3 linked regions of the Rhinolophus ferrumequinum genome follow. The protein of the gene in region 3 purifies or fractionates together with the protein of the main gene of each other region. This does not show direct contact. Links are inferred from orthologs where the notes say so. Each region holds a gene or a part of one and is shown on either strand. Other genes may lie near its edges.

Region 1 (10,413 bases), on a different chromosome or scaffold from region 3:
TCTTGAATACTTAGTGTGCGTGGGCTGTCTTTCAATGTCTGTATGTGTCTGAATTTTTTTAGTGACTTCATAGCATTTCATTGTATCCACATTTTACTTAACCAAGCCCCTAATGGTGGTTATTTAGATTATGTTGTAATGATATGTTGTGGCTTGGGATCGCTTCTTCGCCTTTTGGCTAAGATCAAGTGTTTGTGGCTTGGTGTACATAGAATGAATGATGAATTCATGGATGGTGGATTTAGGTCTTGATAGTTATTGCCAAATCATCTACTAATAAGTTTTCTATTAGCTTGTATTCCCTTTTAGAGTAACATCACGTTTTAAAGTCCTCTCATGTGTCTGTGTATTGATTGTATGACACTCCACGTTTTACCTCAGAGGTAGGGGAGAGGAGTAGTTTACATAAGCATGTGCTGTTGGACCTGGAAGTGCCCACTCTTTGCGGTCACAACAACGCTGTGGTGGGTGTCTGTGCCTCAGGCCTCGTCTGAGACTGCCCCTCCCTGCAGACATCTGCATGTCCCTGAGAGCGAGCTCTTGCCTGTTGTCAGCCTGTTAATACTAAAGCTATTTCTTTTCATAGTAGCCTGTTGTGTTCTGAATTTTACTCATTTTTCCAAATGCCTCTTGCACTTGAACAGTTTTCCTGCCAGAACACCTCTTGGCTTCATGAGTTTTCTCAGCTTATGAATGACAGTAGAAATGGTGTTCCTCTATTAGTTCTGACTTAGGACGCTTTAGTGGCTGACCGCTATATACCAGACACAGGTCTCGGTCCTGGGGTTTTACAGATCTGCCTAAGGCTAAGTATCTTACAGAACAATCCAGAGGGCAATCTGACATATACATACGAATAAGTGATGTGAGGAGCCGATAATGATAATTGCCTTTGTTTATGAAATACGGCACCCTAAACACTTTTCATGTATTGCCTTACTTGATATCCTCACTTCACTCCTATAAGGTTGATTCTGTTATTTCTCCCATTTTACAGATGAGGAAACTAGAGCCTAAGGAAGTTAAGTAATTTGTCCCAAATCTCACAGCCAGGGAGGGTGGAGCTGGCAGTCTGGAAGGTGAGAACGCGACGTAGCTGTAGGACTCTGGGCTTCCTGGAGGTGGTGGCACTGAGCTTATCCTGACAGATGAGGCGATAGTGTCTTCATCCAAGAACAGAACCCCTTGAGCCACCTTAAAGGGAAAAGGTGGGTAGGGGATAAAGAGGTGTCTCTGGGAACCAATGGGCAGGAAATAATCCAGCCTTCAGGGACTGGAATGAAGAACCAGAAAAGGCTGTCAGGAGCCAGGGCAGCTTTCTCTATGTCTGGAGCCATGGCCTCTAGTTGGCTGCTCTCTGCATACCTCCTTCCCCCTTCTCACCTTCTACCTCAGACTCCTTGCCCCAGCCTTTCACTCAGGAGACTAACGGGCTTGGTCAGATTTCCCATGTTCAGATTCCAAATGCCTGGAAGAGAGAAGCTCGCCCAGCGTGGGTCAGGCAAGTGCCTGCCACTGGTCGGTTCAGCTGTGACCTGGGGTGTAAGGTGACACGACCTGCTCAGGACACTGACTGACGGCTGACACCTCCACTGTGGGGCTGAGGGGCGTCTGTCTGAGGAGTGGCCGGCGAAGGCCCTCTGCCTGGGGAGAAGGCAGTTGATTGCGGAGGACCTCCGCGTGTTGAGGCGGCCTCATTCACGGCTTCGCAGTGGGCAGCTTGCCTTGCGTTGCCAGAGCGGGAGGGACGCGGAAGGTGTTTGAGTGGATGAGGAGTGGTTCGAGTTGCGCTAGAGGAAGATGAATGTGGCGGCAGTGTATGAAATGGGTCGGAGTGAGGAGATGAGGAAGGAAGTGGTCAGAGGGAAGGGCCTTTCCTTCCCGGGACGTCCTGGACGTTTCCGTGGGGGGCTGAGGACTGGCTCATAACCTGTCCGTGGTCTGGCACCTCGAGACCCTCTTGGCCCGCACTCTCCCAGGCTGCGATTTTCCTATTTTCAGTCCACTCTCCTTCAACCCGGCCCTTCCTCGCCCTGCTGATGGCGGAGGCAGGTGAGGAACCCCGCCGAATGGCAGCATCCACCTTGTCAGGCTTGCAGTGGGGGCTGCCTTTTAGCTACAGGTGTTCCGAATACCGTGCCGTGCTGAGCGGTATCTGTTTGGGGTCTCTTCCACTTCTCGCTTCCTCCTGAAACAGATGTCGATGCCCACCGTGTCGTGCCGAGGAGACATGGAGAGCGTCCGCCGCTGCCTGGCTCACAGCCTCTTCATGAGCAGCGCGGAGCTGCAGCTGGACGGCACCTACGCCACCACCGACACCCACCAGCCGGTGGCCATCCACCCCTCGTCCGTCCTCTTCCACTGTAAGCCCGCCTGCGTGGTGTACACGGAGCTGCTGCGCACCAACAAGTGCTACATGCGGGACCTCTGCGTGGTGGACGCCCAGTGGCTGTGTGACGCCGCCCCCGAGTACTTCCGCCGGAAGCTGAGAACCGCCAGAAACTGAGCCGCCGAGCCGCTGGCGGCGCTGCTGGGGCCTGGAGCTGGGACCTGGAGCTGGGACCGCAGCCGTCCTGTCCTCGCCCCTGGCTTCCAGCGTGGCGCCTGGGGAAGCGGCTGGTTCTAATGCAGCGGGCCGTGCCCGGCTCCAGGAGCTTGCAAGCATCTTTGTTTAACCTCTTAGGACGGAACCGTGTAGACATCTACCTACCATTTATACCTTTGAGATGTCGGAATTATGCTTTCGGTTCTTGCTGGGCGATGTAGTTAACTTCTGAGCCTCAGTTTCCTCATCTGCCACGTGGGGGTAATAATACTACTTGTAAGGTTGGTGTCATGAGGTTTAGAGAAAATGAAAGTATCCCTTTCATTTCACATCAGCGCTGTGCCTGGCGCGCAGTGAACGTGCATGAGGTATTATTCCTTTTTACATAATGTGAATGGAGTACAACAGAATCCCGAGTTCTCGTCACTAAGGGGGACTTTCTGGGAGGGGACCATAGGCGGTCACAGAGCTCTGATGTTGTCCTTCGATCTATTTTAATGTCTAGCTGTATGAAGTTTTTAAATAGAAAACATCGGAGATTGGCATCTGCAGAAATTTCAGGAGGGAGGGGCTGTTGCCTCTTACCTGTGGGCTGGCCGCCGCTGTTGAGCCTCCTGCCCAGTGTGTGGACTCCTGCCTCCAAGCAGAGAACAACAGTACAGGAGAGCTCGCAGGTTCCTGAGCGGTGCCCCCTTGCCCGTGGTGCCTCTGTGGCACATGTCCCCATCCGTGCTTTCAGGACCCGTGGAAGTTTCCCAGGTGAGGGTTGCTTTGTATTTTTTAAATCGTGATGGCTTCCAGCATAGCCAGTTGCCATTTTCTCTGTCACTGGGTCCATGTAAATATGTGAGCATAAGGAATGGCTCCGTGCTATACTTCAACTATTTCTTTCCTGTCAGAGCCCCTGCTCAGCTATTGGGGTGGGTGGAGGGGAGAGACGAAGGGTCAGTGAGAACCCAGACAGCATTAGCGCAGCTCGTCCCATCCACCTCATCTGGTGTTTATATTCTTAGATCTTATTTATTTTCTATGATCTCTTTTTCTTCTTTGGGACTTGGGGACAACTTGCCTTTGCTACTTCCTAACCGTGCCAGTCACTCCTCTCTAACCCTGTTTCTACTTTTCTCAGAGGGAATTAGGTCTTCACAGTCTTTCTGTTCTCATTTTGAGAAAGGAAAAGACACTAAAGGTTCTTCTTGGCTGTTTAATTATCGAAAGCAAATGATTTTTCCCCTGATAATGTTTTGCCCTAGAAGAATCCAAGACTTAGCCCTTTTATTGTGCTTAATTGGTCTAAACACATGTGTGCAGTATTTTGGTCATTACTTAAAGTGAACCATGCAGTTTATAGGCAGGGGGCTAAACTGAGAGACTCTTCAGCGACAATGGATGGTCTCTTCACTCTGGATCCATTGAACTCTTCTCCAAGACCATAGCCTGCTGGAGCTCATTTTGGGTCTCATCTGTTCATGCTTGTGTATGTTAAGCCTGGCTCAGGCTTTCGAGCAGTAGCCGTGGCCCTGAGAAGTCAAGCTTTCATCTAGTGTTCAGGGCTGTATGGGCACTTGTGATTTAATTATATTAGGAACAGTTACGTTTAGGCTAAAGAGGATTCCACAGATCCTATATACCCTGTCTTATTGAATGCTTAGACTTAGCTGGCTCTTCCTCAGATTGACTTGTTTTTACTGTTGCAAAAGGTTTTTAAAGTGTGTTTTTCTCATTTATTTAATAGAGGCCTAGGATGTTTAGCCTGACTGGGTAAAAGAAAATATTTTTAATAAAACATTCATCATGCTGGTAAAAAATAGGGAGTGGGCTGATTTATCATGTTCCTCAGCCAATTCTCTATGGAGAGGTGTTCTCTGGGGCAAATAAAACTTAGAATAATTTGTGTCCAACTTAAGTACCTAAAGAGTTTCTGGAAATATAAATTCTTTTCTGAGCAGGAATAGGGATAAATACCTTCTAAATAAATGTAAATAGCTTCTAAGTAGCTTTAATGTTTCTGTACAGAAATATGTTTATCATTGTAACATTCTGGTAGAGTTTTAATACAGTAGTTTTTTATTGGGCTTTTTAAAAAGTTAATTTTTAACATAGCTGCTCAGGGATTAAATCAGATTAGAAAACCCATTCTGACTCCACAAATTACAACAAAGAAATAAATGGTTATTTATATTGAGCTGCAGGGGACAGCACATTTTAAACTTAAACTTTCTTAAGAAAGTTAAATGTTTCACAGTAATGTTGCAATATCATCTTGAGCTACTTTTTCCATTCGTCAAATTTACGATGGTGTGACACCTCTTCTAAACTGTGAAACCCATATCTGCGCGAATCACTAGCTCTCACAAGCATCTTCAAGCAACTGGCATGCCTCAGCTGTCTTCTAGTAACGATGGAGCCTGGAACATCCAGGGCACTGAGAACAGACTTCATTATGGGAAAGAACTGCCAACAGCCGGTCCTTGTTAAGAACCCTTACTTAACGTTGCATTTCTGCTGGTTGTAAAACGATGCCAGAATGGAGACAAGTTTTTGCTCTGTGGGTAAAACTTTTTATGTACCATGATACATACATTTAATCCAGCTATCAAGAACTGCTTGGAACCGTGGCCAGGCATCTTGAGCATGTAAAGGAACACTGCATCTGTGGGGGAGCAAGGATTTGATTATATTTGATCAAAATATTATAACCTGCAGAAAAAGAAACCAGAAAAATCAAATTGATTCTGGTTTGTGTTGTATTTTGAGAATCTGGTCTTGTTCAAATAGACACAGCTCTATAAAAACATCAGTTCTTGTATATAATGCTCAAATTTGCACATGATTTACATCCATTAAAAGTGAATCTTGTACATGGTGTGTATGGCTTCTATCTTGAGTCTTCTTTCACTTTACAGAATGCTGTTTAGAATATATTGTTCATCTTAACTTTGCCACTAATTGGGGAAGACTCACTTTTTTGGTACCTTATATATCCTGTGTGTCCTGTTAAAGTAGGAACATCGGTTCTTAACCTAAATCTGACGTAAGCCATGGCTTCTTGCACCCCCCAAAATAATGTCCCATCAGAATCTGAGAGCAAGGTTAAGGTTGGAGGGTATGGAGAGGGAAGGTGGCAGGAATTAACCAGGGATCCTGCCCTTCGGGTACTCCTAGTCCGGTGGGGGTGAGGGGAGGCTGCCAGGTAAACCAGCAGTGCCAGGAGGTTTCTCCTGAGAAAAGACTGAAGGGTAGCGGCGGGGCATGCGCCGGCGTGAGTTCCTATCACGGAAGAGAGGAGGAGGTTACAGGAAGGCATCTTAAAGGAGATGACCTTGAAGGCTAGTCTTTGTAAGCTGTTGGAGGTGGCAAGAGTGCGTTCTGCGAAGTCACAGCCTGGCGTGCTTTCAGACCAGTAGATGGAAATTTGGAAAGTGTAAGCAGCTGCTGGAGACAAGTGATGCTGGCGAATCAAACAGAAAGCTGCACACCAGACTCAGGCCTGCTGATCAGATAAAAAGTTAGCTACCGGATTTGAGGCCTCCCCCGGACGCTGCTCAGGAACGCGCCGCCCCCCGCCCCCAAGCAGAGGGGGCAGTCCTACCCACCGCGTTTGACCCGCAAAGCGACGCTGCGGAAGCGTTTCCTGGTCGAGGGCGGGACTTCCGGCGGTGAGCTCGGTCCGGTTACGCCTTGGCCCGAGTCGTCCTCAGCCGCACGTGTCCGCTGCAGCTTTCGCGATGCTTCCTCTGCTGCGCTGCGTGCCCCGAGCCTTGGGCTCCGCCGTCGCCGGCCTCCGCGCCGCCGCGCCCTTCCCGCCGCTCAGGCCGCTGCTGCAGCCCGCGCCCCGGCCGTGCGCCCGGCCCTTTGGGTTCCTCAGCGTGCGCTCGGGATCTGCGCGACTGCCCAGCCTCCTGCGGCCTCGCAGACCCTGCTCCTGCGGCTGCGGCGCGCTGCACACGGAAGGTGAGTTCGCGCACGTGGGCCGGGGCCGTGAGGGGTAGATTTCCTGAATGGGGTGGGGGTCCGGGAAGTGTAGACCACGAGTGGGCCGCCCAGAGCGGCCCCGCGAGGTCCGAAACGTTTTCCCAGTGTTGGGCAACCAGAGGATGAAACCCACGTGTGATCACATTTCCCCTTTTTCCTGTCCGCTAAGTGTTTCATTTTAGGGTGAGATGTACAATTAAATCCTGGAAACCGACTTTAAACTTAGTCTCAAAAATGGAATTTAAGGAAGGCCCAAGGTTGTGGTTGAAAGTAACGTGGTTATGACTTGGCGAGTGGGAGAAGGTAATTGGGAACTCGTGCTTTGTGTGAAACGTGGTAATGATAATGAGTTCGTTGTTGCAAATCACTTTTCCAGAATATAGCTCGGCTTCCCACTGACAGTATTACAGCATTTTTACAGAGAAGGACACTGAGGCTTAGTGGATGTGAGTTGGACTAAGTTCCCAGAGAATGATTATTAACAGTCCAAGTCCAGATTTCTGGCTAGAGTAACCCGGGTCATTTGTACGTTTTAAACTGATGGGCTTTTCTTTTTCTGTATTTTAATGGATTTTCGTTGTAGGAGACAAAGCTTTTGTTGAATTCCTGAGTGATGAAATTAAGGAGGAAAAGAAGATACAGAAGCATAAGTCTCTCCCCAAGATGTCTGGAGGTTGGGAGCTGGAAGTGAATGGGACAGAAGCCAAATTAGTGCGGAATGTTGCTGGAGAAAAGTAAGTATGGTGGGCTCCAGGGGCCTAAACCCATGTCCCTGCCCCAGGTCATCCCCAGAACAGCTTGAGTTAAGGCAGGTACTTTGATACATAGTTTCCAAGAGACAGAAGGATTCATTTGGATAATTTCCTAAGTTCCTGGTAGTTCATTCATTGCACACAAATTTCCTGTGGGCTGGTTACTAAGGAGACAGTAAGGAGGTAGCACAAAAGCATGTAGCGGTGCCCAGCAGAAACAGCTCATTCAGTAAACCCCTACTGGTGGCGGAGGCCATGCCCTGCCTCTAGGCATGCACATTCAGAAATTCCTATCGTAATGACAGCATCAGTTAGATCGCAGGTTTACAGTGCTTGATTCACTACACTACAGGCTCTGAGTAAAACAAGGCCCCTGCTTCCTGATGTTTACAGTAAATGAAAATGCAAGACATGCAACTCATATGGAACAGGATGAGATTCCAGTGTAGTAAATGGTTGTCATTAGAAGGGTGGGGAGCTTTTGACCTAGCTTAGCTCTTTTTATGATCCGTTTCGAGTGGATGTCTAGATATGTTTCTGAAGTAGGGTTCTGGCTTTTTTTTTTTTTTTTTGGCGTAGTGGCATATTGTGTTTTTCCCCACATATACAAGTAGGTCAATTCTGTAATTTTCACCTAAACCGTTTTCCTAGGGTGAGTCATGGCCAGTTTGGGGGCATTATAAATTATGTTCTAAGACGGGTGTCAAAACTGCGGCCCATCGGTCAACTGTGGTCCACAATCCATTGTTAATTGGCCCGCAGGACATTCCAAAAAGTATATTTAGTTTACTTAAATAAACCAAGTGAGGCAATACGTACTTCACCTCGAGTAAGTGGCCCGGCTGTTTGTTTGTGTATTTTACCGAATATGGCCCTTGGTGAAAAACATTAAAAAAAGTTTGGACACCCCTGTTCTAGGAGCTCAACTTGGTCATCACATTGCAGATCAGACAGATTTTGTGGCTGAACCTCAGACCGTCATTGTTCTTATGGGAAAGCGGCTTCCTAGCAAGGCAGCTGGTTGGCACAGCTCCCGAGGCCACACGTTTACAGTGTGCTGTTGTGTGCACATAATGCCTGCTGGAGTTGGGCAGCCCAGCAGTGTTTCAAATCTCACATCACTTCTAATTTTGACTCAAACTTTGGAACGTGATTTGTTAGGTGGATTCTTGTACCTTGAAATTGTTCATTAATTGGTGTTTCTGGCCTGCTTTGTGGTTATAAAACTTCCCACAAGTACTCTGAAGAAGGACTGTACTGCAGCTTATTGTTCTTTGTGAGGCTTCCCCTTCCTGGGGCCAGGGCTGCTCTTGGTCCTTAGCTGATGCAACCCTCCAGTGCTCCTTCCTTTCCTCCAAGGGGCAGATTTTCTGATGGAGAAAAAAAAAGCTTTTTAAAAGAGACATCTATTCCATCCCACCCGCTTCTCAGCTGCTCATTGCCGCTGGAAGATGCCCTGGAAGGACAACAGTGAGCAATGTCAGCTGGCTGTGGCCATGAGACCACCAGTGGATACAAGATGGCAGTGAGCCCTGGGATGCTGGCCTGATCACACATGCTCGTTTTAGCTGAGATAAACTGGGGCCTGTTAGTTTGACTTCCAGCAGATGGCACATAGTAGGCACACTTGAGACCTGCTGAATCCATCTTAGGTAAGATGTAGGCACCCAGGCTTTTCTGGAAGGTCTGTAAATAATTCACATGTAAAGACAGCTAGGTTAGAGACTTTGTTTCAATACATATTTTTAACTAGCAGGTTTCCATACTTATTTAACTACTCAGTTAAAACTACCCTGTCCAGACGGGGGAACTGGTTGAGGAGCTGGGTGAAAACGGTGAAGGGATTAAGAAGCAGTACAAATTGGCAGTTACAAAATAGTCATAGGGACGTAAGTACAGCATAGCATATATATAGCCAATATTGTAATAACGATGTATGGTGCCAGGTGGTTCCTAGACTTATAGGGGAACACTTCATAAATTATATACATGTCTAACCATGCTGTACACCTGAAACTAGTATTGAATGTCAACTGTAACTGAAAAAAAAGAGAACTATATTCTTTCTGATGTGTTTTCTTTTGCCTTTCTAGGATCACTGTCACTTTCAACATTAACAATAGTATCCCACCCACATATGATGGGGAGGAACAGCCATCCCAAGGGCAGAAGGTTGAAGAACAGGAGGTAAGCTTGTAACCCTATAACCAGCCTTTACCTCAGAATTCTGATAGGCTGTTCCCGGGGCTTAGAGGAGCAGTGTTTTTGTTTAATTTCTCTAATGCTAGAGAAATTAAGAGAGGAGAATGCAAAGGATAACCATCCTTGGGACTTTTACTTGCAGAGCAGCAGTTTCCTTTGGCCCCAGGGATAATGTATGGCCCCTTTTCTTTCCCAGGGACTGAGTAAATTACCATCTGCAAGCTTCGGATTTATAGTTTGGCCTGTGTTCTCCAAATGGAAAGGAATGGAAACGGTTTTAACCCTTCCACAATGGGAAGGTGTTTGATAATCAGAGATTATCATTTGGAGTGTTGCCAAGTGAGGGATGTTCTAACACATCACAGGCTGGTAATAAAAACACCAGCCACTTAACCAAAGTAGCAAAGCCAGGGGCATCAGATTTAATTTAACACCAGAGATTTTGGCAACGTCTTTGCTTATGTTGCTGGCCCTGTTGGTTGGACCTGGATGGTGACCAGACTTCAAACATTTTAGGAAGCGGTGTGTCTAGCCTAGAAACCAGCTGGTATGAGGGCCACAGGGTCTCCAGACTTTCTGACTAAGCAGGCATCTGTATTGTCTCATGAACTAGCACAGATCCCTGCTGTGTTGCTGTCTCAGCTACCCTAACTAGGATCTCTTTGACATTGGATGGCTCACCATCAAAGGGCGAGTGACTGTGATTATTCATACATAGGACTGCCAGTTAGCCAGGTGCACCGGCCTTTGGTCCTGGGCCATAGGAAGATCCTGAAATAGTCAGTTGGAAAGAGATCTTAGAGCTTTAGGCCAGCTTCGCAGTTTATGGAGAAAAAGGCCCAGGAAGAATAAGGAACGATCAAGACCTCAGTTAATTGGCACATAGCTGGGGCTGGAATTCAGATCTCTTAATTCTAAACCTAGTATATTATTTAGGGT
Region 2 (10,299 bases), on a different chromosome or scaffold from region 3:
CCCCACTCCACCCCCCATACAAAACAAGGGAAACTTGTAATATTCTTAAGACTCGGCCTCAGACAGACAGTTTGCTGCAGGGCTGACGTTTGCATCATCTGGTATAAACCTCCAGTACTGATTTAAGTGGACCATGCTCTCCTCCGCACCCCGCTTGAAATCCCCAGAATAGGACTCAAGACACAGAGCAAAGAGATCTGCTGGGAAAGCTTCATGTCACAGACGAGGCAACTGAGGCCCCAGCATGCAAGGGACACTGCCAATTAGGGGCCAAGTGCACTGTCTCTGGGCTCTCCTGTCTTTACCCGGTTGTGTCACAGGCTTGCTTCCCAGAGCTATGCTTGGAATACTGCAAAGGGACCATTACGGCAAAATCAGTTGTCTGCAGGGAAATAGCACATTGTCTTTTGAGGCTCTGAGGCTTTAGTGCACTTGAGACATCTGAAATTTAAAACTACCTTCCTCCTGTATGTTTTTGGGAAAACGATGATGTCATGCTCTCCCTGGGTGGGCATAAATGACCATCACATTTAAAACTGATTTGTGAGAGATGCACATCACAACAGCGCACAGGTACGTCCACAATGCCATTAATTAAAGCCATCACACATTATAAAATATTGAACAAACAAATGTCGCAAAGCCTCAGAAATTGTGATCTTCAAATCCCTTGAAAGGTCTTAGAGAATAACAAAGAAATTAAGATTGTGGAGCTGCACTTTGGACATTTTCATTGAAGCCACACATGCAGACCACTGCTAGTTGCTGCTTTGATTAACTGTGGCACAGGAGTCAACACCTCAGATTTGAGCTAAGGAGTCTTGAGCAGGGGGAGGGGCCTTGGCAGGGGTGGGGGGAGGAAGGGGGTCCTGGAGAGGGGAGGGGGCAGGCAGAGGGCCGCCAAATGTACCCTTCTAATATGATTATGAACAACACACTTTCACGTTTTTTCCCCAAGCCCATTTGCAGAGGATCTTACCTTCGAGCCTCTGTTCCCCCAGCTCAAGCTGCTTGAAAAGATTCACATGCAAACATTTCTATATTTCACAACTCAGTCAACAGTTTTACCACATGTTGTCCACACACTTAAAATACACGCGAAGCATTTTTGAAAAAGTTTTATTTTAATTGCATTTCAAACATAAGACGGCAATCCACTCCCAAAGCACAACCCCTCTTTGTAAACCAAGCCCCTCCTACTGTACTAGGGTAAAAGTGTAAATGATTGGCTTACCTCGGGCTCTTCCCTAGGAAAAAAATTATTTCATGTTTTAAAAACATAGCCACGCCCACCCCCTCGGAACAAGCCTGGCGTGGTTTTTGGATCCAGACTTGCTTTACTGCAGGTTATGCGTTTTTTCCCCCTCATCCCTCCATCCCCCCCACCAGGTGAGCCGAATGTGTGCAGAATACCGAACTCGTGTGTGCAGCCCGGGACGCCCCAGATACCTGAGTGTCTGGTTTTTCAACCGTAAAGGCGGGAGAGTTTGGCGAACGAATGAGAAGTGAGGAAACGCTTAGCGCAACGGGAAAAAAGAGAGAAAGACATACAGAAAAAAAGGTTATGGAGGCCAGCGGGAAGCGGCCCCCTCTCCCCCCAGCCAGTTGCCCAACATATTACCCCGATGTCCCACCACCTTTTCTCCGCATTTTTCGCGCCGCCCGCTGCAGAGCGCCAGCTCACAGGAACCACCAGAGTATGCGAACACGGAAAGTTTTTGCCCGCGCCATGGCGCACAACACAAGACAGCCCATTCCCCAGTACAAGTACACAGTCGGCGGGTAATTTGGGGGTGCCAGGGATGGGAACTGGGAGACACTTGAGCATATCATGCACAGGCGGACACAATATGGACACCAACACACACCAACAAGCTGTCTGAGTCCAAGCAGCCGTGCCAGGCGAGGCGAGGCGGGGCGCACCTTCCCCACGACCCCAGCCCACCACGGCCCCAACAAGCCTAGCCTGGGGAGCCCCGAGGCCCCTCCCCGGTAGTTCCTGGCTCACCTGAAGCCCCCGCCTTCCTTGCCGGCCCCCACCCCAGGACTCGGGGTCGTCTTACGGTCGCTGGCGCTGGCTTGTCCAGCTGGAAACGACCCTCAGTGTTGTACGGCACCACTTTTCTCCCTGGAGGGCACATACTTCGGCCACCCAAGCCCACCCGAGCCCACCCCCCTCCCGGGGCAGAGTTAGGGCCCCTCACTGGAACTTTCTAGCAGGCTATTCCCGCCTTTGCCCAGACCCCCTCCTCCCGCCGCCAGGCCCGAGCCCCACCGGGCAGCCCTGCCACCCCCTCCCGGGTTCCCCGGCGGCCCTGCTGCCCGCGGGCAGAGTCCGCCGCATTACCTAGAAGCAGCAGGCGGTGCGTACACATGTAACCCATCTTTTCGTCCTGTAGTTGCTTGTCGATGAGCTTGCTGCGTTTCTTCTCTGCGCGCTTCTGAGCACGCTGCTCCAGGGCTTCCTTGCGGATCTGTCTGCGCTTCTCCGCCAGAGGAATCTTCTTGACCTTGGGGCTGCGTGGGGCTTTGGGCTCGGCGCTCTCAGATCGGCCGAAGCAGCCCCCGAAGGCTTGCATGAGGAAGTTGCGGAGCAAGTTGCGCCGGGGCTTTCGGCGGCGGCGATTTCTCCGGGGCTGCACGCAGCGATGGCATCCGAAGGTCCCATCGTCGGATTCATCGCTGCTGCGGTCGTCGCTGCTGACCGACCCCTCGTCGTCGTCGCGGCCGCGGCTGCGCTCAGACCTGCCCCGCCAGGCATACGCGCGAGGAGGCTGCGGAGTAGGCGGATCGGCAGCCTGGATCTCGGGGCTGGGGGGTCTAAGGAAACGGAGCTTGGGGCGGGCTCCGGAGGCAGGGGCCGCAGGGGCTGCCCGGGCAGCAGGAGCGGCTGGGGCGGCAGGGGCTGCCCCGGTGGCTGGCGCGTCAGAGGCGGCTGGAGCGGCTGGGGCTGTCCCGGCGGTTGGAGCGGCTGGGGCTGTCCCGGCGTCTGGCGCGTCAGGGGCGGCTGGAGCGGCCCCGGTGGCAGCAGAGGCAGGGGCGGCTGGAGCGTCCCCAGTGGCAGGAGCTCCGTCGCCCGGAGAGGGGACTTGGCCTCCGTCCGCAGCAGCAGCGGTTGAGCTTCCTTCCATCTCGGCTGCTTCTCCCTCAACTGGGGGTCTCTCTCCCTCTGCTCGCTCTCTCTTAACTGGGGCTCGGGAGACCTCGATGGGCGGGCCATCAAGCGCGATTGGGGGGCTGTCCATGTTGACGGGAGCGTCGTCGACCCCAACGGGGGCGCTACCAATCTCGAGCGGGGGTCCGGGGATCTCCATCGGGGGGCTGTCGCCAGCGAAGTGCGGAGGAGGTCTGACAGCTTCTCGGGATGGGCTGCCGATGGCGATGGCGCCTGGGACCCAGAGGGGGGGCTCGCTCGTGGCGGGAGCGAGGAGGACCGCACTCGGCACCGCAACTCCCGTGAACTGGCTGCTGCTACCGCCGTCGATTTGTAGGATAGCTCGGGGGAGCCCAGGGGGTGGGCTGTCGTCCCCAAAGGCTGCTCCATCAAACTCAAATGGCATAGCCTCCTCAGGGGGAGGGCTGCAGCCTCCTCTGAAGCCTGCATTCGCAGGCCTGAGGGCTTGGGGCTCCTCAGAAGGGGTGCTGTGGACCCCCACACCTGGGCCTCCTGGAGCGAGGTCTGAGACCTGCAGGAGAGGTTGGCAGCAATCTCCCTGGGCAGGTTGCTCAAACTCAAAGGGCATGGCTTCTTCGGGTGGAGGGCTGTAGCTTCCCAGGCCTGGCCTGGCCTCACAGAAGGCTCTGGGCTCCACGAGCGCTGAGTTGAAAGCCTCGAGGCCTGCATGGGCCCCACTGGTGTCTCCAGGCTGCTCCAGGGTAGGCCAGAAGCTTCCCAAGCTGGGCTGCTTGACCTCGAAGGGCATGGCTTCCTCAGGAGGTGGGCTGTAGCCTCCATGGGCTCCGGCTTCCTCGATGGCCTGGCCGAGGCCTTGGAGGTTGGGCCTGGAGACCTCTGGGGGTCCACATGCCTCGCCTTCAATCTCGATGGGGACGGGCTCGCTGTTAGGCGGTTGGGTCTCCATCTCTTCGGCTGCGCTAGGCCCAGCACTGGGGGCAGCTGCCCCTGGGGCCTCCAAAGATGGTTGCTCGGACTGCTCCCCGAGTTCAAGGGGGATATCGCGTTGTCCTGACATATTATTGCCGTCGAGGCAGTTGCACACGCCCATAACACGGTGGCGAACTCTTAAAATAAACTTGGGGCCCCGTAAGACGGAGCACCCAACCGAACTAGGGTGAAAAAAATATCTTAAAAAAAAATCAAAGTACCAGCCAGAAAGTTCTCCAACCTCACTTTCCAACCCTCCTGAGGTCTAGGGGTTCAGGGCCTCAAACCTTAGACTGTGGCAGAAGCAACTCTATTGTTGCTGGTGGAGTGTTGGCTTCTTCTTGGCCACTTTTTATCCCCTCAGGCAGCCCCTGGCCCCCCCTTGGCCTGCCCTTGTCCCCTCCTCTCTCTCTTTCTCTCTCTGTGTTCCAGGCCAGCCCCGCCTGCTTGGATCTGAGGAGCGTGTCGATTCGGTCCGAAAATCGCTCGTAGTGCTCTCTTTCTGCCACCAGGGGACGCCGGCTGGTGGCCAGGCGGCTCTGGGAGCCGGTTCCTGGCGCCGGGAGCCCCGGACTTTGGGTAAGGGGGCTGTTGAGCTCAGGCCCCGCTGGGACGTTTTGGCTCTTTCCACTGCTCTCCCTGACTGATTTGGAGTCTTTCTCCTCTCTTCTCCCCTGGCCAGAGAGAGAGCCTTCTCCTGCGTTGCGGGACACGTGACGCAAGACGTGGGCCCCGGGCTGCTTGAGCGCAGGAGCTGAAACCCTCCCTCCCAGACCCAACTGACTCTCCTTGGGGGAGGGGGAATTGCATGATGTTTTCCTCACCCCAAGTTACCCCTGAACACCTGAGCCGCAGCCCCCAGCCTTGGGCAGCCTTCGATCCTGAGCCCCAAATCCAGAGCGCAAAGCTTTGGGCGCATGGGAAAGGGGTGTCAGCATGCACGAGGATGCGACAGGTGGTCGTGAGCCCACTTTCAGAGAGGACAGGAGGCGAGGGGCGAGGTGATGCCGTGTGCGCACACAATTGGTGTTCTAAATGCCTTAGTGTACTTTCCATCGCTTCTGCAGCTTTTGTTTTCCGGCTTGCCGAGGTTGGCTCCTGTAAAGCACTTCAATGTCCCCCGTACCCACCATGCTCTGGGGGGAGGAGGGGGGGTCTTCGCAGGAGCTTTGAATGGCGCAGGCTGGATTCTCCCGATTTACGTGGACGATGATTCAGGGAAATAGAGGGTCTCGGGCGCATACCACGGAGACCCTCTAATTGGTAGCCACCGCGGCACATAACGGGGGGGGGGGGGCGCGGGATGCGCATGGGGACCCCACAGAGTGCAGGCCTCAGAGTTCCGGGGCTCCTACTGCTCTGGGGCAGGGTTAAAGGAGATTTCAGTTGGGGTTAATGGCTGATTTAGAGTGGTCTCAGAGACTGGTCAACCATTTGCGCACTGAACCCAAAGACACATCGTGCCCTGCTGTGCCGTGCTGTGCCAGCAACCGCGGCCGCGGTGCGCTGTTTCCTGCCTCGGGCGCCGGCTGCAGGGTCGATCAGTTTGTTCCTTCCGTTAGCTCCTCTCTAGCCCCCTCCCAGCCCCTCTTCTCTCGCTATGAGTCTCCCGAGGCAGCCGCTTTACTTTCCAACTGCTGTAGCCCGCCGAGGTGGCACTAAGCTCTGCTAAAAACCCAGCGGCCGCCCTGCTGCGCTCCCGTCTCCGTAGCGCGTGGTGGGCTCAGAGCTAGTGGGGGTAAATACCCACACTACCTGGGTGGGCTTGACGCGTGCGCGCGCACTGCTCTGGCTCTGGGGTCTGCAGTAGGATTTGAGCCCAGGAAAATTTTGCTGCTTGCGGATCACGTAAAACCCGGGACATGGGTATCAGGTCTGTCTCGCCAGCAGGTGACACAGACCTGAGAGCCACCTTTAGGCGCGAGGCAGCTGGGCAGGGGCAGGTGGACACCTGGCTTACGGGCGGGCAGCCCGGCGGATGAGTGTACCAGTGGATGGGCTGCGGCAAGCGAGGCACACCGCCTGGATCGCTGTATCTACGAGCCGCAGGCGGGTGAACCACGCATGATCCAATCTCATTAAGTGTAACACGTCTCTTTCAGAACGAGACCACATCCACAGCGCAGCACTGCCCCCGCGTCTGCCAACCGTGTTGCCGCGCTGCACAGAGAAAAACTGACAAAGTTGGACCCTGGGTAACGTTTGAGGTCCCTCAAAGGTGTATCACCTCAGCTCTTTGGACCTACACACTTCCAAATGCCAACACTGAACTTTAGTTCAAACTTTGGCCAACTATACCCACGCGTAACGGCTCAACCATTTGGGCATCCACTGAATGGGCCAACTGGGTCTCCTCAGTCAATTCACTCCCCTCCGACCCCAGCACTGGGTCAGCCATTGGGTTGGGGTCACGCCAATCAATGCTGCCTGGCGAATGAGCAGGGGGCGTCGGACCGGAAACCGGATATGAGTGGGAGGTCCAATAGGGGGCGCCGCGTTAGAACGTCCTAAGAGATTGTGCTGCTGGGGTAGTTGGAAGCGGTCGGTGGGCCGGCGTATGGCGGCCAAGCGTGGGACGCCACGAGGCCGGCTGGCGCCGGGCGGTCACTCTTCCTGACTCCAAAACTCACAAATGCTGGAAAGATAATTGAGGGTTCTTAGGGGCCAACCCAGGGTCTCACTGATGGCGGTGGGCAAACACACCCAATACCCGGGACCGCCGCCGGGGCAAGGAGGCTTTCCAGGGCCTGGAGATAGAGGGCCAGGACCCTGAAGAAAGAGGGGGCTTACTGCTCCGAGGCAGACGAGCAGCCCCAGATGGATAAGGAGTTGAGGCCCCAGGGATGCTGAGCTCTGCCGAAGTGGAAGGTCAGTAGACGTTGGGGTTGGAGCCCCAGGGAGGCCGTGATGGGGGCCCCAAAGGGACGGTTTGCTCTCGCCAGGCCTCGCGCTTGGCCCACTTCACTGGGGCTCTTTCCCAAAGCACTGTTGTTCAATGAACGGGTACCGGGTCTCTGACATCCCCGTAGGCCTGTGGGACCCCTTTGTCCAACACACACTTTCTGGTATCTTGGTTCTTTGCCAGGAGAGCACATGCATTGAGGGGAGTTAAGACTGGGCAGATAGATACCAACCCTCCATTCTAAAGGGTAAGCAACATAGAATGAAAGACCTCCAGTTGGGGGGATCTTGAAAGTCTTGATGGAGAAAGTGGCATTTCAAATGTGCCTCCATGGAGGGACAGAAGGTTTGGCTATGAATAGAACGTGGCGGGGATAGGAGATGTTGGCTGACCATGAACGAAGATGCTAGGAAACAGAGCTGGGTAAAGAGAATAGGACACTGTGTCAGGTCTTGGAGGACCAGTGGGAGAGAAGTCATGAAAAATTGGATAGGATCTCTCCAAGAATACTATGGCATATCAGAACAACAAGTTTTGAGGCTATTTATGTTGGAAATGGAGGTGTTGATGGTTTTTCAACACCTGCAGGTGAGAATTTGAGGCTAGTTTTAGGAGAGGTTAAGGCAGTATGGAGGATGGTCCTGATGAGAAAAAAAGGGGCTGTGGCTGGTCATAACCTTTAAGGGAGGGAGAACCACACATAGTAAAGGAAGCAGGAAGGCCGAAGAGAGGGGCTCGAGGGATCCTAAAGGACCCTCTAGCAACTTCTGTGCTAAAATGGCACAAAAAGTGGAGGAGACAGAATTTGGCACCTGGGTGATGGGACACGTGTGGGAGGATCTGGGGAGGAGTTGGCATGGTGGCGGAGCCATTTGGTTTTAGACATGGCAGAGGTGAAGGAAGGATGGGCAGTCTGGATGGAGAGCTTTACAGCCTGTTACTTAGGATGGGTCTGAAGTTCAGAAGAAAGATGACAACCCCAAGATCAAAGTGACGGTCATCCTCATTAAGATGAAATCGTTGGATGAGAAACACCCTCAAGGGGAGAAACAGATTTGGTGACAGAATCTTGAACACTTGGGGGTACTAGAGAGGACATCACAGAAGAGAGCAGTGGGGCTAGGAAGAGACCCATAGGCTCAGACCAGAGGGAAGAATTTAAGAATCGGTCAGCAGATCTCGTCTTAAAGGAGCTTCCTTAGCCTCTGCACTGCTGACCTTGGGGACAGGTGATGCTTTAGTGTGACTGCCTGTGCACTGTAGGATGCTTAGCAGCATCCCTAGCTTCTACCCACTAGATGCCAGTAGCATCCCCTTAGTTGTAGCAACCAAAAATGTCGCTAGACTTTGCCATATGTCCTCTGGGGGGCAAAATCGCCCCCCAGTTGAAACCACTGCTATAGTCTGAGGAAGGACCCTGTAGACTTGAGTAGGAATCACCTTAATTTAAAGGTAAATTAGGACCAGAAGAAAAAATTCCAGTACTTAACTCTGATGGTCCTTTTGTCTGCTTCTGTTTATTTTTTCTGCAGTGACTGGCCCCCCAGAATCTGAGAACCCCAAATCTCTTGGGTGAGTGAAACTCCACCGCAGATCAGCAGTGCGACTTTAGAGACCCCCTGAGCATGGCCAGATGTTTGAGGAGCTGATTAACCAGAAAGGCAGCTGGGTGGCCTGGCCACGGGACTCAAGGAATCTGGCATGGTAAGAGCTGGGGTTGATCAGCTGGTGGGCTGCTGGGGCCACTCTGATTGGGGGGCCTGCCTGGGGAGCCCGCTCAGGGCTGGTGATCTTGTTGGCCTAAGACAGATGGACTTGGCTGGGGATGAGTGGCTGTGGGCAGCCTAGGCCGGGTCTAACCCCGCTAGGGACATAGTTTCTAGGATCTGCCGTTGTAGTTTTATAGTAGCCAAGTACGTTAAGCACCGATTTCCAATTCTGGGTGGTTTTCTATCAGGGAAAGAGGTAAATATTTGATAGGAATGAGAAGGAACAAGCAAGGAAAGTCAGTTAATGGGTTCACGCAGTTCAGGAAGAGGATGGCAAGAGAGGCTAGTCAGGTGTCTGCCAGAAGGCTGAGCTGGGGTGAAGGTCAGAGGCTGCGTGACAGCATCTGGACCCTGTCCCTACAGGGAGTGTGAGAGTGAAGGGCTACCGTGAGATGCTGTGGGCATGAGAGGAGGAAAGGATTGGCTGTCAGAATCCAGGTGAGGGTTTGCTCATTTCCAGCTACTGAAAAAGAAGCAGTTTTCTACACTTGATGAATTAAGAATGCAATGGGAAACGCTACCATGTCTCAGTTCAACTCTGCCTGTCTGAAAGGCAGCCTGTTCAGACCAAATGGCCCAGCTGCCACAGGCAGCAGATCAGCTGGCTTTCTGTAAATAGGGAACCCCAAATGGAAAGAAGGGATTCCTTCACTGCTGACTGAACAGCGGCGCCACTGCCACCTGCAGAGATGTGGCCTCCTTCCTTGGTGGCCCCACGTGGCGCCCTGGGCTTCCCAGTAATGGACGCCTCCACGCCAGCACACTAATCAGCAAACAATTATTAGTATACTTACATTTGGGAATTCTGACTGCCAGATGCACAAGGCACATCTAGATTTTCAGGAGCTGCCTGTCAAACTTCTTTCTTATTATAGTTCAGCCCTGTATCCAAGAAAGACAAAGTAGAGGAGGGTCCTTTGAGAGGGAGGGGAGACCGGTAAGAGGGGAAGGAGCAGAAACCAGGAAAAATGAGGTTTTTGGGGTGGTGGCATTACCTCCTAGCTGTGGCGTTGCGGGGGGGGATTTGCAGAAAAGCCTTTTCTGCAGCCCACTCGTGCCATTAGTTGTCAGTGGGTGAAATGAGGAAAAGGAGAATCTTTTCACCAGTTATGAGGAAAAGGCAAAAGGAGAGAACATAGGAGACTTCAGACAACTATTACGTTTCCCAGCCTCCCGGAGACAAATGTTTTCTGAGTGCTGACTGAGTAGCAATAAGACTTTGAAGCTGTGCAATTAATTACTGTTCAGCTCAGACTCGCTGCGCCCATCCGTTTGCCTTCCAGCATCTCCTCTGCCAGCCTCGGCCGGTGGAGGCAGCAGCAGCATACTGCTGCCTGCAGAAGGGTCTGCGTGACCAGGCTGTTTCAGACGAATGCCCCTGAAGGGAAATATGCCTCGAATGGATGAGCGTTAGGGGCAGATGCAGTGCGGCCATTCAAGCAGTGGAATCCAGACTTAGGAAAATAGGTGTTCTGCTCAGATTAAAAAGCCCCATGCGGGAGCCCCGAGGCCAGGGCCCCCCC
Region 3 (10,108 bases):
CTATTATTATCAACATCATCCTTCTGATTAGTGGGAATCTATGGAGACAGAATGGGGAATGGAAGGGACAGGTGAGCATCTGAAATACATTATAGGACATACCCAGCAGCAAACAGAAGCCGGGACTAAGTTGGGTGGCTTGAGTCCTAGCTGTGCTGTTACCACTGACTTGCTGTGTGACCCCAGGCTAGTGTATATACCTCCCTAGGCCACTGTCTGCCCATCTGCACAGTGATGGGTCTGGGCTAGCGAGTCTCTGTGGTTCCCCTCCCCGAGAAGGGCCATGTGCACCCTTGTGTGATTCAAGGCTTCCCCATTTTGTCCATCCCCCAGGGCTGCCCCTTCACCTTCTCCAAGGAATAGCCTGCTCGTTCAATGATTTCAGGGTACACATCAGTGTATTCTTTGATGATGTCCTTCAGCATGTCTGCAAGGGGAGAGTATTGCGAGCACCTGGGCTGAAATGAAACCAGGTGACCCCCATACCCAAACTATAGACCCTTTGCCAACCCTGTTGTCGGTGACATAAACAGGTGCTAACCTAATGAAGAGATGCTAGCACTGCCAAATTAGAACTTTGGGAGAACAGAGGTAGGAGCACGAGAGCAACGAATGCTCCCAGCATGCGGGGAAGAGGGTGATGGAGGGCAGAGCTAGGGGGAGGGAGGGTTAACAGGACTCTACCTGAGCGCTTGATAGGAATCTTCGTCTGGTCTTTAACCAACAAGTACTTCACCAAATCATTTGCCTGAAACAGGAGGAAAAGATGGAAAGATCAAAATATGTTTGCAGAAGATTTGAAAGGATGCTGAAGAGGGCAAACAAGGCATTGGATAAGGCATAGTGGGGAGGACAGGGTTCTTACCCTCCCTTGCAAAAGGGCCACATCTCGAGGTGGTGATGCTTCGGGCTCTTGGGATGACTGGAGCTTGGCAGCTCTGCGGCGAGCCTTGCCCCTACGGGCCTTAGGTGACCTCAGGGAGAGCAAAGCTCTACGGGCCCAAGCAGCCAACCGAGTCCGTGATGCCCTGCGGGCCCAAAAGGCTATGGGGCCCCTTGAAGCCCTGCGGGCCATTGAGGCCATTAAGGCCTTTGAGACCCTTCGGCCACCTGTGGTTCCAGAAGCCTGACTCTGATCACTGCTGCCATCCTCTTCCCCATTCAGATGCTTCACCTACATCGAAAGAGAGGATCACAACTTTGCCAGACGAAGTAGATGGTCCTTTTTCCTCATCCTATATCTTCCAAAAGCCCCCTCTAATCCCACTCCTGTAATAACCTGACTCACTAGACATTGGCCATGCTAAATCTTGCGTTTGTCTTTCACTGGCACCCAATCAGGAGTTTCATCTGTGAACCAGGCCAGGAGCAACCAGGCCAAGGGTGGAGTCTGAGGCGTCTCCTCTTCCTATGTCCACTACTTGCTCTGCTTGAACCACCACGGATAAGTCATTCTACCTCTCTGGGACTCAGCTTCCTTCTCTATAAAACTGGATTACTTTTAGAATTTAAGAGATAACCTGTGTGAATGTGCTTAGCTCAAAGCCTAACACAAGGTAGCTACTATGTAAAAATAAATTGCGTTACATTCAGATCGCAGCTGTGTGTATTCCTGTCTCATCTCCCCACCAATCCGAGAGCTCTCTGAAGACAGAAATTGCATCACACTCCTTTTAGTGTCCCCCATAGCCTTGGGGAACTTTCTAAATGTTTGCAGAACAAGTAAACCAACTGAAAGAAGAATGGAAAGACTAGGGCAGTGACTGCAAAGGTCTTACCTTTCGGGCTTTCTTGGCCTTGACCTTGGGCCGAGTATCCTGATTCTCCTGAGCCTGCGCAGTTGCACCCTCAGGCTCCGGTTCATCTTCTGGAGCCTGAGAGGCAGCAGCCTCAGTCTCCAGGGCCTTTGTATTGACCTTTGTATCAGCCACACAGCTGACCTTTTTGGTCTTGGTGGCAGGCATTGTCACAGCCTGAGGGTCAGCATTCTGCATCTTGGTGTCAGCTGCTGGACTCTTCTTTTCAGCTGCCAGAACCTGGGTATCTGTCAGCTTAGTAGTAGATGAGACCTGAGTGGCAGCTGCCTCCTGAGCCTCTGGGGACTTTGAGACCTCTGCGGCCTTTGAGACCCCTGCAGCATTTGAGACCTTCACAGCCTCTGAGACCTCTGGTGCCTTTGAAGCCTTCGGTGTCTCTGAGACCTCCAAGTTCTGGGTCACTGTTAATAGGGTTTGCATCTTCAAGTCACTGTCTTTTTCTGAAGCTTCAGTCTGCAAGACAAAGCAGGGAAGCTTGCGGAACTTCTCCCCATCCCCAACTAGGCAAATGGCTCCAAAATTCCAGGCCTTCACTTCTCTGACCTATACTAACTCCTACTTGCAGCATGCTCTGACCACCTCAGCCCAACAAGGCTTCCCCTTCCTCTGAGCAGGAACTGATGGCAGAAGAGGGGTGGGCCTGCCGGCCCTCCGTCCTCCTCCCTCCCTCTTTAGTTCCTTCCTCCCTCCCTCTACTGGGGTGGAAGGCACCCAGGCAAGGAAGTGGGTGGAGAAGGACAAGGACGGGAGGGGGTTGCCAAAGGATTTAGGACAACAGGGGCTGGAGAGGAAAAGCAGGTAGGGAGAGGGCAGAAGGAGGCCTTACCTGAAAGTGGGTTGGACCTGAACCACTCTCACTTGTGTCAGACATGTCTCAAGTTGGCCTGGCAAGAGCTGAGTCTGAAGGAGAGAAGTCCTGGGTCAAGGGGAGAGCCCACTGAACGTCCTATATCCTGTTCTGCCTGGAGGCTGATCCTCACCTTTCCTAGGGCTCTAATCCCCACCCCAGAGACTCCGTTCTCAGATTCAGTAGAAATCCACAACGTCCAGGTCTCAATTCTCTGCAGCCCCACCCTCCCCTTCTCCAGGAAGATGTGCCAGCGCGGCAGCTCTGAGGACCCCGCCCCTTTTCCCAGTGCACCCCCCCACCCGGCCGCAGATCGACAGTGCGCATGCGCGTTCGCTGCAGGGCCCATCTCAGCCCCGCCCGCTTTCCCAGCACAAGCCCTTTCTTTGATGTCCACCGTGCACATGCGCATTCGGCAGCTGGCCCGTCTCAGAGCGGGCCCTTCACTACACGCTTTTCTAGCGATCCATAGTACGCATGCGCAATAGTCACGGGCTTAGTCCTGCACCCTCTTGCCAGCACACGCCCCTCTTCAGGTCCGCAGCAGCATTAGGTCCCGCCCCCTCCCCAGCAAGCCTCCCTCTCAAATTGTTAGTGTCTGGTGGTCGCGGCCCCTCCCCTACTCACACCCACCCCAACTCCACAGTACCACCCGATCCCGCCCTTTTTCATAACACGCCCCCCTCCAAACAGGGGCAAAGCGCATCTTGGTTCTGCCCCTTCCCTAATACACCCCCTCCTCAAATCTGTACTGAGTTAGTGATTCCATCTTGGGTCCAGCCAAACTGGGTCCAATCCCCACCCTTCCCAGCCGGATGGATCCGGTAAGATCCGGTCCTTAGGGCAGGTTTTCTCTAGATCCCAGAGGGTGGGGCCGAGCCCTACCGGGCTCTTATCCAGAACTGGGCCCAGCTGCTGCTCACCTCGTCCTACAATTCCCGAGTGCGACCACTCTCTCCGAGCCCCTCCGAAACTCGGAGACTGCCCTCCCCTCTCCAGGCCGGAAGTGGTCCCGCCCCTTTCCGCCTCCCTAGGGGGCCTCCGTCTCAGCCAGTCTGCCCTTCCCCCGCTCCCTTTTCTTCATTCCTTATACCCCCCTCCGTATTCCCTCTGCCTTGCTTCCTGCTCCCTATTTCCCCATCGCATTTCCTATTTACCCCCAAAGAATTCCCTGTTCCCCCTCCTTGCATCCTCCTCCATGTTACCTATGCACCCCTCCCCCAGTATTCCTTAACCCTTCTCTGCATCCCATATTTTCTTCTCTGGATTTCCACTTCCCCTCAGTATTCCCCTTCCCCCTTATATTCCCCATCCACCACCCAACATCCCCGGTTTCCCGTTTTTCTCCCCCTTCTCTTCCACTAGTCTCTGCTTCCCGGTCCGTACAGCCTACTACTCTCTGTCCTCCTGATTGCCTACATCCCACGCCAGGTCGCCCCACCCCCAGATGCAGTGGTGCAGTAAGAATTGCCCACCTGCCTGGCTGCAGGTTCGAGGGGGCTGGAACCACTGTCTGACTGCCAGGAAACCCCAATCTCAGCGTTCCTCACCTTGTCCACGAGCGAGTCTGGGATGCGTCTCTCCCCTCTCAGTCCCTCTCGAAGTCAAAGCTTCCAGCACTAAAGCTGCAGCCAGCCCAGCCCAGCCCAGCCCCTTTCCGCAGCCCCCTGCCACCCCTCCTTCTCCTTCCTCGGGGGTGGGGCAATGAGGCCCCGCTCCGGGCTGTCTGACGCCAAAGCCCGTGTTTATGCCACTGTACCAGGCTCGGTCTGAAGCCCTTCCAACCAAAACTAGACCCTCAAAGCTATTCATTCATTCAATTTATTTATTTTCATATCTTTATTCTTATTACAAAGATAATGTGTTGTAGTTGTGAAAATTCAAATAATGCAGAAATATGTAACATACCAATGAAAGACCACCCTTATCTCATCCCCCAGATATAACCACTATTAACATTTTGATATACATTCCTCCAGATTTTTTTTATATTCATATACCTATTATTTGAGTTTTCTGCCCACAAATGGTACTCTATACTTACTGTTCTGTAACCTGTTATTTTTCCACTCATATATTCTAAGCAGCTTTCCATAGTGCACATTTTTCTTGATACCTGCATAATCTTTTCTTGTATAGATGTCCCATAATTTATTTCACCAGTGCAGGATACATGGACATTTAGATTATTTTATTTTATTATTAATTTTTTTTTACTATTTTTTTTTTTTTACTATTACAAACAATGTTACAAGGAACATCCTTGTAGAATCTGTTTTGGGTTGTTGTTGTTATTGATGGTATTCTTTGCTGACTCAAATGCTACAAAAAAGTCTTCCATTTTGATACAAAATTTGTCAACTTACTGTCAAAAGGTACATGGAATAACATTCCCACTAACAACGTCTCTCACATGTTTGTGTCACATATGTGACAAACATTTTTTATGTTAATTATGATAACTTTTGCTGTACAAAAGGTTTTAATTATTATGTAGTGAAATGTATCATCAGGTTTTGCTTTATCACAACTGGATTCTGCTTCACGCTTAGAGATGCTTTCCACAATCCTATATTATAACAATTCCAGTTTTTTTCCAAGCACTTTTATGGCTTTATTATTTACATTTAAATGTTTGATCATTCCAAAATTTGTTTTGCGTAAGGACTCAGCATAATTATTTTCCGAAATCATAGTCTCTTATCCCTACACCATGTGCAAATTAATCCATCTTCCCCCCACTGATTTGAAATGGCACCTTTACCATATAATAAATCCACATAAGTAATTGTGTCTATTCAAGAGAACAAAATACGATGTATAAATAATGAAAAGTAGACAAAATTATCATTAATTACAGAACATATGAATGCAACCCAAGAGCATCAACTAAAAAGTTATTTGAAACCATAATAAAATTTAGCACAGTGGTCAGTTGCAGAAATAATATTCAATAATTTTCCTACATCCAAAAGTAACTCAAATGGTCATGAGTCTGCTTTATGTGGTCACCTTTTCCTTTACAAAGCAAATAAAATAACATGAATCCCTATGTTCTGTGGATAATTCAACATACATACAACTCTTCCCAGATATTCAAGATGGGCTTCTAGTCTCCTGACTCCTCTCTTTCTCTTAATTGTTGCTTCCTCCAAGTTTGTGATACCAGCTCACCACTTTCTTACCTCTTCGGTTCTCTCCCAATCTGCATGGCTTTATTTCACAGTAGACACAGTCCCTCCTTTTCTTCCAGTTCTAGTGCGCCAAATTTCCCATTCCTTCCAAAGCATGGCAAGTCTTGAATGCCAAGATAAGGACTTTGGTCTTGATCCTGAGAACACTGAGAGGTATTGAAAGGTTCTAGGCTTGAATACGACATAAATTTGTGTTTTAGAAAGAGCACCCTAGCTGCCTAATCCATAAGTAGTATGGATTAGATATCTCCCTGGAAAGATGGAGAGTTGTCATCCAGATAAGCAATAATTGTGGTTTGGCCTAGAGTGGTAGCAGTGGGGGTGGTGAGAAGTGATGGAATTCAGAAGATACTAAAGAAATAAAAAGCAACAAGACTTTATGAATAATTGAATGTGGAGAAAGGGGTGAGGAAAATGTCAAAGGAAACTCTGGGGGATCTGATTTGAGAGATCAAATGTGTGGATGGTAACCCCTTTTACTGATATATGGAATACTAATGTTGGGGAACTGGCCATTGATGTTGAGGTATCTGTGGGACATTCAAGTGGAAATGTCTCACAGGCAGTTGACTATATATGCCTGAAGTTCGGTAAAGAGGTCTGGGCTGAGGTTATAGATCTAGGAGTCGCCAGTATATGAATGGTTTTAGTCTATGTGAAAGGGCAAGGGCACCTGGGAAGAATGTGTACCCTTAGAAGAGATGGCACCCCAGCCGTTATGGAAGGCAGTGTGGAGGTTCCTGAAAAAATTACGAATAGAATTACCCTATGACCCAGCAATCCCTCTCCTGGGTATCTACCCAAAAAATCTGAAAACATTTATCCATAAAGACACGTGTGCTCCAATGTTCATTGCAGCTTTGTTTACGGTGGCCAAGACATGGAAACGACCAAAATGTCCTTCAATAGATGAATGGATAAAGAAGTTGTGGTATATATACACAATGGAATACTATTCAGCGGTAAGAAAAGATGATATAGGATACATTTGTGACAACATGGATGGATCTTGAGAGTATAATGCTAAGCGAAATAAGTCAGACAGAAAAAGCAGAGAACCATATGATTTCACTAATATGTGGTATATAAACCAAAAACAACAAGAGAACAAGACAAACAAATGAGAAACAAGAACTCATAGACACAGACAATATTTTAGTGGTTACCAGAAGGTAAGGGGGGTAGGGGGTGGGAGACGAGGGTAAGGGGGATGAAATATATGGTGATGGAAAGAGAACTGACTCTGGGTGGTGAACACACAATGGGATTTACAGATGATGTAACACAGAATTGTACACCTGAAATCTATGTAATTTTACTAACAATTGTCACCCCAATAAATTTAAAAAAAAAAAAAAGAAGAGATGGCATCCAGGGAAGAGCCCTGGTGACCAGCAGCAACTACAGCATAGGTGAAGGAAAAGGAGCCCATGAAAGAGATGGATAAATAGTGACCAGTGAGGAAGGGAGAAAAGCAGGAGAATGTAGTGTCACAAAACCAAGGGAAGAGAATGTTTCAAAAGGAGGGAGGGGTGAGTATTGTTGAATGCTACCAATAGGTCAAGAAAAGGCCTGGAAAAAAATATCTAGGTATTGTAACAATCAGATGGTAGTCTGGTCTCTGGTGACCTAGGAGGGAATAATTTCAGTACAGAGATTTGTAGCAGATTGCTCATTGCTTACCCCAATATCCATTCTCCTCTTCTTCCTTAGTAATAGAACATCTGATTTTTAGGGGGACACATAGCCTCCTGGAATAAAGGCCATAAGGACAAGGGTAACACCCTAAGAATAGTGGAGCAGTAAACTAAAAAGAAACTGGATCTCTAACAATTTCATAGTGCCACCTTACCACCTTTGGACTGCCTACGTCTGGATTTCTTTTAGATGAGGTAAATACATGTATGTCTTATTTAAGCCACTGTTATTTTGGAGTCTATGCTATGCAATAGTTTCCTGGTTGCAGCAGGTTGAGATGTGAGGTGAGGTATCATGACAATGTGTATAGACTACTCTTTCAAGAAATGCCTGAGCCTGATTTCAAGGCTCTCCCAAAATCTACCTCTGACCACTTGCTATTTTTCTGACCACTGCCTATATTCTAATCAATAAAAAAAACTTCACTATTATCAGATGTGCCCTGCCTTCTCTTGCTTAGGAGCCTTTGCTCATATGATTTCTTCCACATGGAACATCCTCTGTTACATCTAACCTCTGTTTCAACCTCCAACATTTTAAATTCCACAACCGTTTAAGTCCTGGTTGTGACCTTTGGGACCCTGGGGTAACTTTAAAGGAATACAGAGTCAGAACATTAGGAAATACTGGATTCAAGGAACTCGGGCAAAATCTCAGTCCAAGTCCATTAGAGAGACATTCCCAAAGATTTTCAAAGCCTATCTTCTCTAGTCCCCTCTCAATGCCACCACCTTCATAACACAAGACGATAACCATCTTTATCGTATGACCTCGGCATCACAGGACAGGAAGAAACCTTATCAGGAGAAAAAAGACAAATTCGTTCACAATCTTCACCGTTTGACCAGAGAGATTTCTTCCCACCTTCTCCTGGGTGGGAAGAAGAATCCTTTGGTCTTCAGCATCTACTCATAAACTCTGAAGAACCTAAGTCACTGAGTCCCAGACTGGTTTTCAGTATCCATATATCAGCAGGCAAATACCTGAGGTCATGTAGATCCTACATATCCACTAAGGGAAGAGATGAAAAGCTGAGTTATCACCAGGCAGCTCTGTTCAACAGATAAGGAAAGACAGGCTGAAGATTGCTGAGTGCGGGGTGTCAGGGGGTGAAACTGCCTAATACTGGGGCACTCAAGATTTCAGACCCCTGAAGCTTAAATGGGAAGCCCAGAATATCCTCATCACCCCTAAACTATACAAAATCAATATCTCTGAATTTTGGAAAAGAGGTGAGGCTGGGAACAGATGACAAAGGTTTCCTTCCAAGGTTACCTACCACTTCTTTCATCATCTAAATCATACAGTACCGCATAGCAATCGACTTAAAGTGGGACATCAGACTTTCCTGTGGCTCACATTTCCTCAGCCATTCCTACCATTGGGAAAGGCCTACTAACCATCCCTTCTCCTGGGCCCCATTCTCCATCACTGTTGGGCCCTTTCTGCTCCCCAACATACAGAGGGTTCAATCCCCCTTCCTTTCCATTTCTAGGATCCTCTGTCCTCTCTTTGAGCTGCTGGTAGAATCTCATTTTTTTTCTTCCTTCTGTGTGCAGGACAACTTAATTCATTTTGTATCACTCTAAGCCCTGAGCGCTATCTTTCCACGACAAAAATGACTACATTGTGTTAAACCAAAGGCAAGTTTCCCATAGATCAGGAGACTGGCTACCCATTTTTGGACTAATACTCCTTCTACCCTGCTGTTTGGACATTGAGTTCTACTTCAGCACGCACGTATGAGGCAGGTTCAGGCCACTCAATGGACATTGAACACCAACTATGTATCGGGCACCTCTACAAAGGTGGTCCTTGCTCTTGAGGGGCTTACATTCCTACTGTATGAACATTAGCCTCATTTTACAGAGGACAGAATTGGGGGTAAGGGAGGTAACTTGCCCATAGCAAAGCTACTAGTGAATGGCAGAGAGAGGACTTGAACCCTGGTCAGTGTGATGCCATATAACAGAGCCTTCACCACTATGCTTTACTACCTCTAATGTTTTCAGTCCCAGGATATCCTTTCCAACCCTCTTCATAAACATATATAAGACGCATTACAGTATGAATTTATTCTGTGCAGGCAAGTCTAACTGGATATTCAGACACCCATTTTGATACTGTCATAAAGTGTCATAAGATATATAATTATTTTGTTGTTGTGAGATAAACGTAATTTTTTAGAATTTTATCTTTATTAAAGTAATGCATGTACATGGCAACAAATCAAACAGGGTAGAAAAGCCTATGATAAAAACCAGCAGTCCCCTGCCTTGACCCTCTGCTTCTCCCTCCCACTCCCTCAAAGCAACCTTTTAACAGTTTTTGGTTTTAGTTGTGCTGGTTGTTCTCTTCACAACTCTAAATAACATGTATATGCTCTGTTTCTTGGTTTATAAAATTTAGACTATATCCTATTGACTCCCCAGTATGTCAATGAGATTTTTGTTTATGTACACCACCTTACTTTTCCCTTTACTCTCCTGCTGTGTTCAACATTGATATTTCTTTTTTGTTCTTGGCTAATTTTGTAACTTGAAAAAAATATA

Evidence for each region.
Region 1: the proteins of melanoma-associated antigen D2 (region 3) and C1QBP purify together in Homo sapiens (affinity purification with mass spectrometry; 3 studies listed by BioGRID and IntAct, counting the BioPlex papers as one, with this or other methods). This does not show direct contact. The link is inferred for Rhinolophus ferrumequinum from reciprocal best matches to the Homo sapiens genes MAGED2 and C1QBP.
Region 2: the proteins of melanoma-associated antigen D2 (region 3) and GNAS purify together in Homo sapiens (affinity purification with mass spectrometry; 3 studies listed by BioGRID, counting the BioPlex papers as one, with this or other methods). This does not show direct contact. The link is inferred for Rhinolophus ferrumequinum from reciprocal best matches to the Homo sapiens genes MAGED2 and GNAS.

The regions. Positions count from the first base shown.
Region 1 is NC_046304.1:12,970,333-12,980,745, reverse strand, and holds the start of C1QBP (complement component 1 Q subcomponent-binding protein, mitochondrial), read left to right. Parts: upstream 1-6,187; 5' UTR 6,188-6,273; coding exon 6,274-6,499; intron 6,500-7,103; coding exon 7,104-7,254; intron 7,255-7,827; exon of another isoform or gene 7,828-8,429; coding exon of another isoform or gene 8,430-8,642; intron 8,643-9,365; coding exon 9,366-9,459; intron 9,460-10,413. Other genes in the region: ATP-dependent RNA helicase DHX33, read left to right, coding at 2,198-2,506; RPAIN (RPA-interacting protein), read right to left, coding at 8,430-8,642.
Region 2 is NC_046306.1:3,449,769-3,460,067, forward strand, and holds the start of GNAS (guanine nucleotide-binding protein G(s) subunit alpha isoforms XLas), read right to left. Parts: upstream 4,227-10,299; coding exon 2,348-4,226; intron 2,129-2,347; coding exon 2,009-2,128; intron 1-2,008. UniProt on the Homo sapiens protein: Guanine nucleotide-binding proteins (G proteins) function as transducers in numerous signaling pathways controlled by G protein-coupled receptors (GPCRs).
Region 3 is NC_046284.1:81,175,669-81,185,776, forward strand, and holds the start of melanoma-associated antigen D2, read right to left. Parts: upstream 4,329-10,108; 5' UTR 4,215-4,328; exon of another isoform or gene 4,140-4,214; intron 3,667-4,139; exon of another isoform or gene 3,588-3,666; intron 2,931-3,587; exon of another isoform or gene 2,798-2,930; intron 2,718-2,797; 5' UTR 2,689-2,717; coding exon 2,644-2,688; intron 2,271-2,643; coding exon 1,779-2,270; intron 1,175-1,778; coding exon 866-1,174; intron 749-865; coding exon 685-748; intron 428-684; coding exon 348-427; intron 1-347. UniProt on the Homo sapiens protein: Regulates the expression, localization to the plasma membrane and function of the sodium chloride cotransporters SLC12A1 and SLC12A3, two key components of salt reabsorption in the distal renal tubule.